Notamacropus eugenii: one gene and its partner. The protein of the gene in region 1 purifies or fractionates together with the protein of each later gene. This does not show direct contact. Links are inferred from orthologs where the notes say so. Each region holds a gene or a part of one and is shown on either strand. Other genes may lie near its edges.

The links. The genes of interacting proteins can lie anywhere in the genome.
Region 2: the proteins of WDR24 (region 1) and NPRL3 purify together in Homo sapiens (affinity purification with western blotting; 6 studies listed by BioGRID and IntAct, with this or other methods). This does not show direct contact. The link is inferred for Notamacropus eugenii from reciprocal best matches to the Homo sapiens genes WDR24 and NPRL3.

What each region holds. Positions count from the first base shown.
Region 1 is NC_092872.1:53,677,594-53,685,572, forward strand, and holds the start of WDR24 (GATOR2 complex protein WDR24), read left to right. Parts: upstream 1-4,903; 5' UTR 4,904-5,040; coding exon 5,041-5,521; intron 5,522-7,979. UniProt on the Homo sapiens protein: Catalytic component of the GATOR2 complex, a multiprotein complex that acts as an activator of the amino acid-sensing branch of the mTORC1 signaling pathway. The GATOR2 complex indirectly activates mTORC1 through the inhibition of the GATOR1 subcomplex.
Region 2 is NC_092872.1:55,081,825-55,089,721, forward strand, and holds the start of NPRL3 (GATOR1 complex protein NPRL3), read left to right. Parts: upstream 1-4,838; 5' UTR 4,839-5,257; coding exon 5,258-5,375; intron 5,376-7,897. UniProt on the Homo sapiens protein: As a component of the GATOR1 complex functions as an inhibitor of the amino acid-sensing branch of the mTORC1 pathway.

The DNA.
Region 1 (7,979 bases):
CCCACTTTGGGCTTCATTTTCCTTATATGTAGAATAAGGCTTTTGGACTAGATATTTTCCAAGCTCTGACATTCTGCAAATTTGTTTTGTGTCTAGTTCTGGGCACCATATTTTAGGGAGAACATTGAGTAGTTGGAGTATTTCCAGAAGAAGGTGACAAGGTGAAGACATTAATGGAAATTACACATTATGAGGACTGGCTGAAGGACCTGAGTGAGGATAATAGGGGGTAAAAAGGACTTAGGGGCATTACCATAGCTGTCTTCAAATCTTTGAAGGGCTTTTCTGTGGAAGAGGGATCATATTTGCTCTGTCTGACCCCAGACAGAATGGTTATAAGTTACAGAGGCTGAGTTATAAGGGAAATTTCCTCGAAATTAGCTGCCCAAAAATGAAATTGGTTCTTTGAGATAGAAGCAAATCTCCCATTACTTCAAGGTCTTCCAAGGATGTTGCAGAGAGGATTCTTGTGCAGGTACAAGATAGGTCACCCTTGAGCTTCAGGCCCCTTCTGACTGACTAACCAAATGTTCTACAATTCTAGTTAAATGACGTACTCAAGGTTATGTAGTAGTGTAACCAAGACTAGAATATAGGTTTCCTGACTCATCATATATTGCTTTTTCCACTATCACACCCACTCTGGGCTCACTCCAGGGGTATGCTGACTCCTGAGAGCCAATTGTTAAATTTTTAGTACCCGTAAGCATCTACACCTCAGAAATCAGCAGACTTTATATAACTGGACTTGATCTATTGTTTTGTTGATTGTCTGTACCAGGGATTGGCAAACTATAGCCTGAGGATCCAATATGGCCCACTTCTTGTTTTTATATGGCCTTTGAACTTAGAATGGTTTTTAGATTTTTAAATACAATAAAATTTTATTTTAAAATGTAAAAGTCATTCTTAACTCAGGCAGTACAGAAACAGGTAATGGATTTGGTCCAAAAGTAATGGGGGAAATGTTAAAAAGGCAGATTAAACTTATCCCATTTTCAGAATCTGTTGCTAAACATATAACAGCATATCCCTGGTCACTCCCCCCGTATTCGCTGGTACTGTCTGGTTGGGTCCCCAGAGCAGCAGCTATTACTACTTCTAGAATTCTAGGAGTAATTCTGTGGGTGACTATCCTTAAAACATGAGCTCAGGAGTCCCCACTAGTGTGATTTTCCCTAACAATCATCCAATAGACTCAGTTCATTAGCAAAAGAATTTACTCAAATGGCACAGCAAGAATAGTGTTTCTCCAAAAACCTGGGGTATACTCTCCTACAAATATTCACAGAGTCCATGGGGGAAAGAGTGGTCATGGATTGACAAATGATAGTGAGGCCTATCTGGAGAAAACACATGTAGCCAAGGCAATTCAGAACTGCAGATCCTCATCTTTTCTTCTAAAACCTAAAGGTTTTCATGGAGTTTGCTGTGAGACCTAACATCAATGATGGATGAATTGTTCTACTGCTCAGCTGCGTCAGTTTCTTGCAGGGTGTGGCATGTCGGCTGGATGGGCCAGGCAGTTTGCCCCACCATTGGGCCCTGAGTAGGCTCTTCTGGGAATGGTGGAAGGGTTTATCTGCTGGACATCACTCTTTGATGGACAGCTACAATATATCACCACCTTCAGTCACTGGCTCAGTTGGATGATACTGCATTTGCTTCAGCTGGAGTGTTCGATGCTTTTTTAGCTGTAGTTCTATTGTGCTCTTTCAGTTGAGACAACTTCCCATAGCCTAGAAGTGGCAGAAGATTCTCCTTTTTCTCGTGAGGCAACTGGAGCTAAGTGATTTGCCCAGGGTCACACAGCTAGTAAGCATCAAGTGTCAGAGGCTGGATTTGAACTCTTGACTCCAGGGCCATTGCTCTATGTACCGTACCACTTAGTGCACCAAGATTCTCCATTTTTTTTACTTCCTTGGAACCTCAGTTATGAGGTTGGTCACCTCTAGGAAGGAAGTAGGAAAGGAGATTCTAATTTCTCCTGTTCCTGATTCAAAGCCACTCAGTATTCCACCTTGGCTCACAACAATCAATCCCAATTCAGTTACACTTCCCAGACTTCTTCTGAAGTGACTAACAGCAAAGATAAAAATGTGACATTTGCCTATCTTGACCATTAATTTCTTTTGCCGGTCTTTTCACAGACAATTTAGCTATTTAAGACTTTGACCCTTCCTAAGGTATCAATATTTGATTTTGCATTCAAAGGCCTTCCCCTTTATATTCCAGTATTTCTATTCCTTTGCCTCTTAAGACCTTCAGCTTTTTCTAAAGTATCTAGGGTCAGCCCATCACTCTCCCATGTTGTCTCAAGAGTTTACCATCTAAGGGCTGTGTTGGGTTTCCCATGTGGAATCCTTCACCCACGCCATTGATGCTGCCCTCTCTGTGATCCACAGCCCAGGAGACAGAAAGGAGCTTCCTTTGGGGGAAAGAGCTGCCCCAGAATTTCTCAAAGGATGACCAGGAATGGATGATTAGGGAAATAACCAGAATGGACAGAAGGTTCCCTACAGTACAGTAACTACCCATGGAGTTCACAAAAGAGCTAAGGAAGAAGCAGACTCAGGACTAGGGAGAGAGAAAAGATAAGACCATTGGACTAAAAATCAAGACCTAAATCTAAGGGTAGAGTTGTGCAAAAAAAAAAAAAATGAACAAAAGAAAGGTCTTTGAAACATGTTTTTCAAATGCATAGAGAACGGGACAGCTAGAAAGAATCACAGACAAGTAGGACAGCTTTGAAAGTAACATGTTGAATTTATTACACCCTTAAAGAGATAAACAACCTGTATGTAATGGAGACTCAATACAACCCTCTTTTTATGCTCAGTTCAGAATTGAAGAAAAAAATTTAACTTAAAAATATGTCTCCCATAAATTCCTCTTATTCTCTCTAGTTGTATCCTCTTAGGGAAAGTGGAGCAAGTTTAAGAGAGAGCCTTTTAAATACTTGAAGAGAATTATTATGTTCCTCTGTCTTCTATTTTCTAGGCTATCTGTGCTTCCTTCAGTCACGCATCTCCACATAGCCTGGCATCCAATTCCTTCATCATCTTAGTCACTCTCCTCTGGCCACATTCTTCTAGCTTGTTGATGCCCCAGATACAAATTTGTGATATCCAGAAATGGACAAATTACTTGAGATGTGTTCTAACTGTGACATAACAAAGCAACATGCTTTCTAAAATCATAGGATCTAGAAGTGGAAGGGCTCTCATAGGTCATCTAATTCAGCCCCCTCATCTTACACATGAGGACACTGAGGATGAGAGATATAAAGTGACTTGCCCATGGTCAAAGAGACATCAGAGTTAGGGTTCCAATATAAGCCTTCTAATTCCAAATCCAGCACTCTTGCCACTCTAGAGAAACCCAAGACCCAATGTCCATTGGTTTGTGACTCTCCCCTCATTGGAGAAGATCAGTGATCTAGTCTTATGCAAGGGGCCTGGGCAGAGATAGTGAGAGAGGAAGAGAGGAGAGGCTTGTTCTTTTCAAGTCTCTTCAGGTATCTTTGGGTTTCCAGCTTAGATAGACAGATGAATGAGACCAACCTCACTTCAGGTAGGTGGCAGGAAAAAAGGATTTTTAAAAGCAAAACTCTAGGAAGAAGCTGGCATTGAGAGGAACTGACAGTCTCTATCATGTCTCTATCTCCAGCTTGCTACACTAAAGACTAAAGGAGGGAAAATTTCCCTCAGATGAGATCTAGGGTACTCTTTTTCAATGGAGCTGTTATCTTACTCCCAATGGGAGAGCTCCTTCACTCGTATTACCCATTATATATGCATACATATGTGCATACATACATATACGTACATACACACCGCACACATATGTATATAATTTATATACACACAGATATACTTTTTCTGACTTCCGTCTGCCTACAGAATTGGATAGGCGGGCTTCTTGGCCAGCGCTGCGTGTTCATCGTGGAACTGGTGCATGGCGGAGAGGGGTCAAGGCCTGGACACAAAGCCTGGGGTCCCGCGGCTCCCCCCAGCGATGGACGACCTGCAGCTGAGAACCCCGTCTTGCAGACTAAGGGAGGAGGCAGGGCGGCCCAGCTCCGGGCCTCCGGCTCCATCTTCTCCTCTGGCCAGGCGTTAGGACCCCCTTGGAGGAAGGGTGGGGGGAGGGGCTGCAGACGTCAGCTCGGCCCCACGCTGCATGCGGGGGCCCACCGTGCCACGTCCCCCGCGGACTCGTGCCCAGGTCCTCTCCTCTGAGCCCTTTCTCTGGATTTCACCGTGTACTCGGGCGGCTGGGCTTGAGCCCGGCATGGGGGGAGGCGGACCCCCGAGGGGCCCTCTGAGGACCCAGGCCCGCGTCGGAGCCCGGAGGGATCTTAAGGCGGAGAGCCTGAGGACACGGAGCCGGGCCCGGCAGGGCCGGAAGTGACCCTTAGAACATGAAACACCGGATGTCAGAGATGGAAAGGACCTAAGGGATCGGAGGGGAAACTGAGGCCCAGGCAGTGGCAGGTCGACAGCGGTCCAAGGGGAAGCATTCGGACTGGCTTCCGAGGACTCCTGCGGCTGGGGCGGACCTGGGGCCGCCACCTGGGCTGTGCCTGGACCGTGGGCCCCTCCTCCCGCCCTTCCTCCGCGGTATCCCCGCCTCCCAGTCTCCCCGAGCCGGAACGCTTATCTCCGGCCCGCGGTGGCGGCGACGGCGACTCCTTGGGGAGGGACCACTTCCGGTGCCAGGCCTCTCGCCGGGGCTCCATCACTTCCGCTGGGGCGCTGGGACGGGCGGAGCCGGTTGGGTGAGTGAGGGGTCGGGGGCCCCGCTGGGCCGCGCCAGCCTCCTCTTCTCTCCCCTCCCCTCCGCTGTGGGTCCGCTCCATCGCAGCCCTCAGCCCAGGCCCCCGCCCTCGGGCCCCCCCTCTCGTGGCCGGAGAGCAGCCGCCTCGCGGGCCGCTTCCCCCTTCGCCCCCCGGGGCCCCCGCTCCCCATGACACCCTCGGACGTGCCTGACCCAGGCGGAGGGCTCACGGCCGGGGCACCCGTCGGGAGCTGAGCCCGCATGGAGAAGATGGCCCGCGTCACCACGGCCCTGGGGGGCAACACCCTGACGGGCCGCACCATGTACTGCCACCTGGACGCCCCGGCCAACGCCATCAGCGTGTGCCGGGACGCCGCCCAGGTGGTGGTGGCCGGCCGCAACATCTTCAAGATCTACGCCATCGAGGAGGAGCAGTTCGTGGAGAAGCTGAACCTGCGCGTGGGCCGCAAGCCCTCGCTCAACTTCAGCTGCGCCGACGTGGTGTGGCACCAGATGGACGAGAACCTGCTGGCCACGGCGGCCACCAACGGCGTGGTGGTCACCTGGAACCTGGGCAAGCCGTCGCGCAACAAGCAGGACCAGCTGTTCACCGAGCACAAGCGCACGGTCAACAAGGTGTGCTTCCACCCCACCGAGGCCTACATGCTGCTCAGCGGCTCCCAGGACGGCTACATGAAGTGCTTCGACCTGCGCAAGAAGGACTCGGTCAGCACCTTCTCGGGTGAGAGCGGGCCCCCTGCTGAGTGGGTCTGCCGGGAGGATCGGATAGGATCGCGAACAGGAAGAGCCCCTGCCTTCGGGGATCGTAGCAGGGAGATGAAAGTACACGCAGATGCGTCTAGTGCCTTGTAATAAAAACCTTCCGCTTGTCTCTTTTTTACCAAGCCCTTTTCCCAGTCATCCCCGGAGGTGGTGTAAGGATCATGTTGGAGGCAGTGTTTGACAGATGGCTGAGGCACCCAAGGGTACATAGCCCCTCGTCTCTCCAGCATTCCAAGTCTGCTGTCTGTACTCCTCCATCCAGGTCCCTTTCATTTACACCAGGTTGCCCTGTCAACTCTGGTTTCCTTGCAGGCCCTACCAAGGCTTCTGGCGGGCCTTGCCAAACTAGAAGGAGTATGAGTACAGCTCCAACTATATACTTTTATTAACTAAAGTTCAGCTTAGTGCAAAAGAGGCCCATCACCTGGAGAGTCTGGGTATTTTGCCATAGCAACTTTTGAAGGACTGAAGAAGTATGTAAATGCTATGAGATAAAAAGAGAATAATCACTTCTAAATGAGAAAACAGGGAATCCTTCTCATAGATGACAGCATTTGAGCTGCTTCTTGAAGGCCCCACAGGTAAGAGAGGGGTGAAGGAAGGTATGAGCAGAAACCATAGGTTGAAGAATTTACCTAACTTTGTTGACGAAGTCCTTTTTTGCATTTTTAGTTGAATTTTTCCTTTAAAACCTAGCCTCAGGTCCTGACCACCTCAGCTCATAGTAACCTCTCCATCCTGTGCTACATTCTATACTACTCAGGAATCTCGTGAAACTTGTTGATGTAATTCTCTTTTCCATGTATTAGAAATCTTGTATCTCCCGTCAGACTATAATATGTTGTGTTTTTTTCTACCCTGCTCAAAAGGGAGGTGGTGTAGATAGAGTGCTTGATGTGGAATTAGGAAGACCTATGTTCAAATCCTGCCTCTGACACTTTGAAACTCTGTGTACATGGGTAAGTCACTTAATCTCTCTGAGCTTCTCTTCCTTATCTATAAAACAGGGATAATAATACTTGGCCTACTTGGCTCACAGGGCCAAGCATTATAATGTATGTGGAGTACTTTGCAAAGTGCTAGTTAAATGTCCCTTGTTAATAATAAAACTTAAATTTATGTAGTACTTTTCCATCTATAAAGGGCTTTTACATGCACTTCCGTTTGATTCTAAGCTACTTGTTTAGGTATATAATGATAATAATGATAAGTCACATTTATGTATGACTTTATAGTTTATAAAGTGCTTTTCTCACAGCAATCTTACAAGATAGTATCATCACCATTTCACAGATGAGGCTCCTGAGGCCCAGAGAACAGTGATTTGCACTGTTGGTCGGTGGCCGATTTGAGATTTTGAGACTCTCAACTCTCAAGTCTATGGAGGTAGCTTCATAACCAAGCTATAAAGACAGGAGAAGAAATGATCCCTGTCCTTGCAAAGTGCACATTGAAGTTTAAAGGCCATGCCCACTTGTTTCTTCAAAACTAGGTACAAATGGGTCTAGAATAGATAGAAGTAGTATTACTCTGGAACCTCCTCTCTGTGGCATGATTCTTGGTATCTGTCCTTCAGCTGTGACAATGCCATATAGCAAGGGCCTTCATACTTCAATAACTGAACTCTGTGAGGGGCCAAGGGAAAAGTACATGATACTGGATCTTACTAAGAACTAGAGTAAATGATATTGGGGACAATGGCTGTTATAGGTAGAACTTCCGTAAGTAAAGGAATGTTTGAAATGTTTGTGCCTAGATAAGGATTCTGAGAAGGCAGCATAGAAATCACCCTGTGACTTCTTTAGGTACCAGGTGGTAAAGATTCTTGGACCTGTCATGGTTGTAGACGTAACTCATTCTCCATTCCACTTGGAGAGGAGAGTTTGAATGCTTAACCAGTAGCTAAGACAAGGCTATTCTCTAACTCCTGATCTGGTCTGACATATGTTTGGAACCTATTTGCCACTCCTCCTTCTTACTCTGCCCACTCCCACCCCACTTCTGTAGGGTGGGAATAAGAACCCTCCTCCTTTCCTCTTGTCTCTGAAAGCACTTGGAGATCATAAGTGGGTCATGCTTTAAATGCTTCTTCCGAAAAGCTCTGCGATGTTTGAGGGCTGTTGGGGTAACTGTTAGTTAGCTCTGTGGTCTTGGTTTGAGTTTTTAGCTGAAGTGAAAGCAAGTAGGAGGTCTTGGGGGGTGAGGGGAAAGCTGGTGTCTAGGTAGGGCTGCCTCACCTTGGCGGAAGGAAGGTCCTTTTTTAATGTAATTTTTAAATTAATAAGCATTTATTTTCTCTTCCCTCCCCCCAGGAAATCCTTATAACAAATATGTTGATAAGCAAAACAGATTTCCACATTGGCAATGTCCAAAAATATTTGTCTCATTCTGCATCACGAATCCATCACCTGTGTCTG
Region 2 (7,897 bases), about 1.4 Mb from region 1:
AGGTGCCCACCCTTTCTCTTATCCCTTTCCTCTCCTACTTTCCTGTAGAGTAAGATGGACTTCTATACCCAGCTGAGTGTGTATGTTATTCCCTCTTGAGCCAATTCCAATGAGTGTAAGGTTCAATTGCTCCCCTAAATCTGCCCTATCTTTCCCTCTACTGTAAAAGCTTTTTTCAGTATCTTTTATGTGAGATAACTTCCCAATTCTACCTATCCTTTTCCCCTTCTTCCAATGCATTTCTCTTTCTCACCCATTAACTTTATTTTTTTAGATATCATCCCATCATATTCAACTTATACTGCACTCTTTGTCTATGTATATTCCTTCTAACTACCCTAATAATCATTATTTGTTTCATTGTTTTCTACTGACCTACCATCATGTTAACAATCATTGTCAAGCTGGACTAAGAAAGATGGCAGATTGGAACAATTTTATTGTTTTGTTACTGATGTTGATGTATGGGGGCTTGCTCAGCTCTTTCTAATGAAACCTAGAGACCGAATCAACCCCCAAAATAGTATAATGATTTGGGGGTTTTGCCCAGTACTACAGATAACAGTAAACGATCAAACAACTGACTGATCTGTCAAAATGGTTGAAAGAGTTAGACCAACTCTTTCTTTTTTAAAAATTTAATTAATTTGTTTTCAGTTTCCAACAATCACTTCCATAAGTTTTAAATTTTCTCCCTCTCCCTGCTTCCTCCCCGAGATGGCATGAAATCTTTTTTTTTTTAATTTTTATTTATTTATTTATTTTAAATTTAACTTTTAACATTCATTTTCACAAAATTTTGGGTTCCAAATTTTCTCCCCTTTTGTCCCCTCCCCTCACCCCAAAACACCAAGCATTCTAATTGCCCCTATCACCAATCTGCCCTCTCTTCTATCATCCCTCTCTGCCCTTGTCTCCAACTTCTCTTTTGTCCTGTAGGGCCAAATAACTTTCTATACCACTTTACCTGTATTTCTTGTTTCCTAGTAGCAAGAACAGTACTCGACAGTTGTTCCTAAAACTTTGAGTTCCAACTTCTCTTCCTCCCTCCCTCCCCACCCCTTCCCTTTGGAAGGCAAGCAATTCAATATAGGCCATATCTGTGTAGTTTTGCAAATGACTTCCATAATAGTCGTGTTGTAGAAGACTAACTATATTTCCCTCCATCCTATCCTGTCCCCCATTACTTCTATTCTCTCTTTTGATCCTGTCCCTCCCCATGAGTGTTGACCTCAAATTGCTCCCTCCTCCCAATGCTCTCCCTTCCATCATCCCCCCCACCCTGCTTATCCCCTTCTCCCCCACTTTCCTGTATTGTAAGATAGGTTTTCATACCAAAATGAGTGTGCATTTTATTCCTTCCTTTAGTGGAATGTGATGAGAGTAAACTTCATGTTTTTCTCTCACCTCCCCTCTTTTTCCCTCCACTAAAAAGTCTTTTGCTTGCCTCTTTTATGAGAGATAATTTGCCCCATTCCATTTCTCCCTTTCTCCTACCAATATATTTCTCACTGCTTGATTTCATTTTTTTAAGATATGATCCCATCCTCTTCAATTCACTCTGTGCACTCTGTCTCTATGTGTGTGTGCGTGTGCATGTGCATGTGTGTGTGTGTAATCCCACCCACTACCCAGATACTGAAAAGTTTCAAGAGTTACAAATATTGTCTTTCCACGTAGGAATGTAAATAGTTCAACTTTAGTAAGTCCCTTATGACTTCTCTTTACTGTTAATCCTTTCATGCTTCTCTTCATTCTTGTGTTTGAAAGTCAAATTTTCTTTTCAGCTCTGGTCTTTTCATCAAGAATGCTTGAAAGTCCTCTATTTCATTGAAAGACCAATTTTTCCCCTGAAGTATTATACTCAGTTTTGCTGGGTAGGTGATTCTTGGTTTTAGTCCTAGTTCCTTTGACTTCTGGAATATCCTATTCCATGCCCTTCGATCCCTTAATGTAGAAGCTGCTAGATCTTGTGTTATCCTGATTGTATTTCCACAGTACTTGAATTGTTTCTTTCTAGCTGCTTGCAATATTTTCTCCTTGACCTGGGAACTCTGGAATTTGGCCACAATATTCCTAGGAGTTTCTCTTTTTGGATCTCTTTCAGGTGGTGTTCTGTGGATTCCTTGAATACTTATTTTGCCCTCTGGTTCTAAAATCTCAGGGCAGTTTTCCTTGATAATTTCATGAAAGATAACATCTAGGCTCTTTTTTTGATCATGGCTTTCAGGTAGTCCCATAATTTTTAAATTGTCACTCCTGGATCTATTTTCCAGGTCAGTTGTTTTTCCAATGAGATATTTCACATTATCTTCCATTTTTTTCATTCTTTTGGTTTTGTTTTGTGATTTCTTGGTTTCTCATAAAGTCATTGGCCTCCATCTGTTCCATTCTAATTTTTAAAGAACTATTTTCTTCAGTGAGCTTTTGAGCCTCCTTTTCCATTTGGCTAATTCTGCTTTTGAAAGCATTCTTCTCCTCATTGGCTTTTTGAACCTCTTTTGCCAGTTGAGTTAGCCTATTTTTCAAGGTGTTATTTTCTTCAGCATTTTTTTTGGTCTCTTTTAGCAGGGTGTGGACCTGCTTTTCATGCTTTACTTGCATCTCTCTCATTTCTCTTCCCAGTTTTTCCTCCATCTCTCTAACTTGATTTTCAAAATCCTTTTTGAGCTCTTCCATGGCCTGAGCCCATTGGGTGGGCTGGGATACAGAAGCCTTGACTTCTGTGTCTTTCCCTGATGGTAAGCATTGTTCTTCCTCATCAGAAAGGAAGGGAGGAATTATCTGTTCACCAAGAAAGTAACCTTCTATGGTCTTATTTTTTTTCCCTTTTCGGGGCATTTTCCCAGACAGTGACTTGACTTCTGAGTATTCTCTTCACACCCACTTAGCCTCCAGATCCGCCCAGCCAGCACTTGGGGTCTGAGATTCAAATGCTGCTTCCCAGCTTCAGGGCTTTTGGTGGGGGCAGGGCTGCTATTCAATGTGAGATTAAGTGCAGGTGCTCAGGTGGGGGCAGGGACATCTCACGGGGCTCAGTTCCCTCAGGGGGTTTATGCAGAGACCTTCAACAATGGATCCAGGCTCCTGCCTGCTTGGGGAGCCCCGGTCTGCTCCCACCTCCGCTGCTGCCTCCTGAGAGGGCCTGAGTTATGGGGGGGACCCCACTCCCCTCTCGGCAAACTGAGAAGACCCTCTCACCAACCTTTGGGGCCCGTGGGTGGAGGGACCTGCGCGGCAGCTGGAGATTCCATTCCTGAAGCCCACTAGAATCTGCTCTTCTTGGTGCCGCACGGCCAAGGCAAGGCTAGGCTCGGCTCCGGGTCCGGGATGCAACAGACCTTTTGCAAGAGGTTTTCAGGGCTCTCTGGAACAGAAATCTCCTCTGCTCTGTTGCTCTGTGGCTTCTGCTGCTCCAGAATTTGTTGGGAATTCTTTTTTACAGATATTTTATGGGCTGTGGGTTCAGAGCTAGCGTATGTGTGTCTTTCTACTCCGCCATCTTGGCTCCGCCCCCCCCCCCCCATGGCATGCAATCTTGTGTGGGTTCTACACTTACATTAGACCAACTATTTCACTATTAGGGCATTTTAAGGCACACAAAATATCAGTTGGCTAGTTGTTTGCCAAAAAACTTGTAAACTATTAAAAAAAAAAAGTTCATGAGAGGAGGCTGGAAAGGTAGAGCCACATTATCAAGGCTCCTGAATTTCCTACTATGAAATCTGAATTTATTTATTAGGCAATACAATTCCTTGAAAGGATTTTGAAGCCAGTATCAGACTGCAGGGACAGATGGCCAGAAATCTATTGGGAGGCCACTGCGGTAACAGGACGTGTGTTAAGGTGGTAGTCGTGGAAAGGGGTAATAAGAACACACACTTAGAAGTGGCAGGCATTTAAGAGGTCGCCTGGCTCACCCTCCCATTTCACAGGTGAGGTGACTTACTTGTGGTTACACCTCATTTCAACCCAGGTCTTCTGGCTCAAAGTCCAGCACGCTTTCTCCAGCACATCGCAGTGAGAAACTTAGGAATGCCTTTGAATGACCCCGCCGGCCCGGAGAGAAGGTGCTTCTCCAGGTGATGACCAAGGGCGCAGGGTCCAGCGCTCTGGGGGCTGGGGGCTTTCCATTGCACAGACCACACTGAAGCAGGCTTCCAGGGGGCCCCTCCAACGCGATCCCCCGCTTCCTTCATGACCCAGCAAACCATTCCACCTTCCGCAAGCTTTTCCTGCCCCCCCCCCCCCATGGTGGTGCCTTTCCTGGACGAAATCTCCAATTTATCCTGATTATAGCCTATTATCTGTGGGGTAGTTCGCATGCTACCCCCCGCTGGGAGCTCCCCGAGGGCAGGCAATGTCTTTCCCCCCAGCCCTCAGCACCCGGCTCATCGAATGCTTCCACGTGGGCCGCTACCTAGACCGGCCCCCCTCGTCTTCCAGACGCCGACAATAGGGCCCAGAGAGCGGAAGCCCATCCCAATGCGGAGCTCTTTCTACTCCACCGCGGGGTCTCTGCTGGGGGCTGGTTGTGGCCTTGCTGGGGTGGGGGTGGAGGGATGCATTTTTTAGGGAGCCGAGCAGCTCAAAAGGGGAGCGGGAGACCCCCCAAAACACAAACACAGCCAGGCTTTAAGGGTCACTTCCGGTCGCCTGCGCAGACTCTCGCCGACGAGCCACTGCGCAAGCGCGGGACTCGGCCCCCTCCGGCGGGAGGAGCGGCGTTGCTAGGGCAACCGCTCGAGGCCTACGGAAGCCTCGCGAGACTAGTTGGAGGTGAGAGGCAATTCCGGACGTGACTCCCGGGCCCCGGGTGAGGGCAAGTTGACATTTCCGTCTCCTGCGGCCTCCGAGGTTCCCGGGCCCAAGATTACGTCTTTCCCGAGAGGCTCCGTTACTCGCCCTCCGCTCTGAGTCCCTCCTCTCCACCGACCCCTCCTCAGCGCCCCAAGTGCCCCTCAAGCCTTCGGGCCCGGCCTCGTTCCCTCCCGCCCCCTCCGCCTTAGGAGCCCCTGTGCCCGAAGCCCCGCGCTCCCAGGCCTCCTGCGTCGGCCTGCTCCAAGCCTCCGCTCTTCTACCCTCCAAGCCCCGGGCCCCACCCCAGCTCACACCGAACCCCCGACCTCCCCCTTCCATCGCCCTCAAGCTCCACCCCTCCCTCCCCCGAATTCCTAGCCCCAAGGAGGCCTGGTTCTGGTCCAGCCCAGAGCGCACCTTCCGGTCCCTCCTCCAAACGCCCCCAGCTCGGTCCAGGATGGGGGACAACACCAGCCCCATCAGTGTGATCCTGGTCAGTTCAGGGAGCAGGGGCAATAAGTTACTGTTCAGGTACCCATTTCAGAGAAGCCAGGAACACCCTGCGTCCCAGACAAGTAAGTGCGCCCGTGGTGGCGGTGTGGGATGGGGCTCCCGGGCCGCTGGGGACGGGGCCCCAGGTCTGCCCTTCCCAGCCTTGGCTGCGAGCACCGAAGAACCTCGGTGGTTTGTGTAGGGACTGAACAGCGAGCCCCCTGGGGTGAAAACAGGGTATCTGGCGTCTCTGAGACTCCTCCGAGGGGCAGACCACCCAGGAATTAAAAGTGACTGACGTCATTGTGATCGTCCTCCAAGTGAAGCTCGTGTCTCTCCCTCTTTCTTTTAAAGGTTACAGATAAATAATATTTTTCAGCCTGAACCACAAAGCAATGAAAAAATTTAAAAAAGTTACTTTTGTTCTCTGGAAAACTTTCTAACCCTCATGTATTGGTCTTAAAAAAACTTTTATTGGTGATTCTTTTTGAAGAAAATGTATTTTTCTTCATATTCCACATTGTGACAGGCAGTTTGTTTAATGGTCACAGATCATAGAGCCTGATATTCCAAATGATGATAATAAATAAGCTTCCTTTCTAAATGAATTCCATACTTATTTCAGAGAAGACTGTTCATGAGTGATTCTTAGTCATGTATTGAAAAGTTTTGAGAATGAAAAAGTTTCTAAATTGATTGAAGTCTAAAAACTACATTTCAGTAACTGGTACAGTGAGAAGAACACTGGCTTTGGATGAAGTCAGAGAGCCTGGGTTTAAATCACAGCTCTGATAGATAACAACATATGTGACTTTGGGCAGATCCCTTAACCACCACCAGTGCCTCAATTTCCTCATCTGTGATGGTAGGGGGTCTAAAACTAGATAGGTCTAGAGCAGTAGCATCAAACTCAAATAGAAAAGGGGGCCATTAAATTGTACATAAGGATGCCTAGGAAAATCTCGTATTAACTTTTTATTTTGTTAAATATTTCCCAGTTACATGTTAATAGGTTAGGACCACATGCAGGACTGTGGCAGTGGCAGGTCAAGTGTTTTGACACCTCTGGTTTAGAGACTAAATGGCCTCTGAGGTCTTTTCCAAATCTGAAATTCTATCATATGTCTTGTGGATTTTTCCCTTTGTTTGGTTGTTTCTGTCGTGTCCAATTCTCCATGACCCCATTTGGGGTTTTCTTGGCAGGAATACTGGGGCAGTTTGCCATTTTCTTCTCCAGCTCATTTTACAGATGAGAAAACTGAGGCCAGCAGCTGAAGTGACTTGTCCAGAGTCACATAGCTTGTAATTGTCTTGAGTCCAGATTTGAACTCAGGAAGATAAGGCTTTCTGACTCCAAGTGTGGCACTCTGTTCTCTGTGTGCCTAGCTTGCCCCCATTTCTTGCGTAAGAAAACATTTTTTTGGAAAAGTCTCAGTAGTTAGCTGAGTGTTGTATTTCTACTTTGTAATATTAGAATTTTCTTCAAAGAATGTTTTAAAAATTAATATGCTATTATGAAATTGTCAGAGTTTTCATAATCAACTGTACTTTCCACTGTGGGAAAACATTTTATTCAACTTACCAACTCAACATGCCATTTCTTTCTAGAACTATTCTTGTGTTCTGATAATTGTATGGATTTGTAATATCATTGATATGGATGCTCTCTCCCATAAGCAGATCTTAATCTTTCCGGGCTGCTTATCCTGTGAGGTTCTTAGCTATGTCCTCTCATAAATCTACCATAGGGGATTCACCCATTGTGCTCTGCACCTTCCTCTAGTTCTGGTCATTAGTTCTTAGGATCAGAGATTTAGAGTTGAAAGGGATGCTAGTGCCATCTAATCCAAACCCATCATTTTATAGATGACAAAGCTGAGTCCAGGAGAGGGAAAGTGACTTGGTCAAAGTCACATGGGTTGGAAGCCAGGATTTGAACACGTATTTGTTCTTTTGTACTCCTTGCCCTTAGGATATGTAAGCTGTGGAATGGCATCACCTATATAGGTCCAAGCACTGCATTTAAGAACTTCCTGTTGATTTTGTTTTACTGCTTACTTAACTCTATGAGTTTAGCCACATGTTAAAAACTATTTTATTTGAATCTTTTATTTTTACACCACCTTTCCCACATATTTTCCTCCCCTCTCATATCCTCCTACTCAGATAGCCATCCCATAGAACAGACAATTTTTTTAAAAACTAGTTTAACAACACATCAACTAAGTGCAATGTTCCACATCCATTGTCTTTCACTTCTGTGAAGAGAAGCTTGTCCACTTTTGTTGGTAACATGAAAGTAGGTAAGTAGCTAGTAAGTGTCTGAGGCTGGAATTGAATGTAAGTCTTTCTGATTCCGGGCCCAGCACTATCTACTGCACCACCATCTACTAAGATACAAAGCACTATTTTAGAGGGTATGGAGGATTTAAAATATATATATTTTATATATGTGGGAGGATATAGGGCAGGATGTGACTCCTGCCCTAAGGAGCTTTCATTCAACCTGGGATCATCATACTAATTATGCAGCATCAATGTTGTATGTATAATGTATACATTGTTGTATAGTATACAGTTATAGTGTATAATAGTACGCAATGCT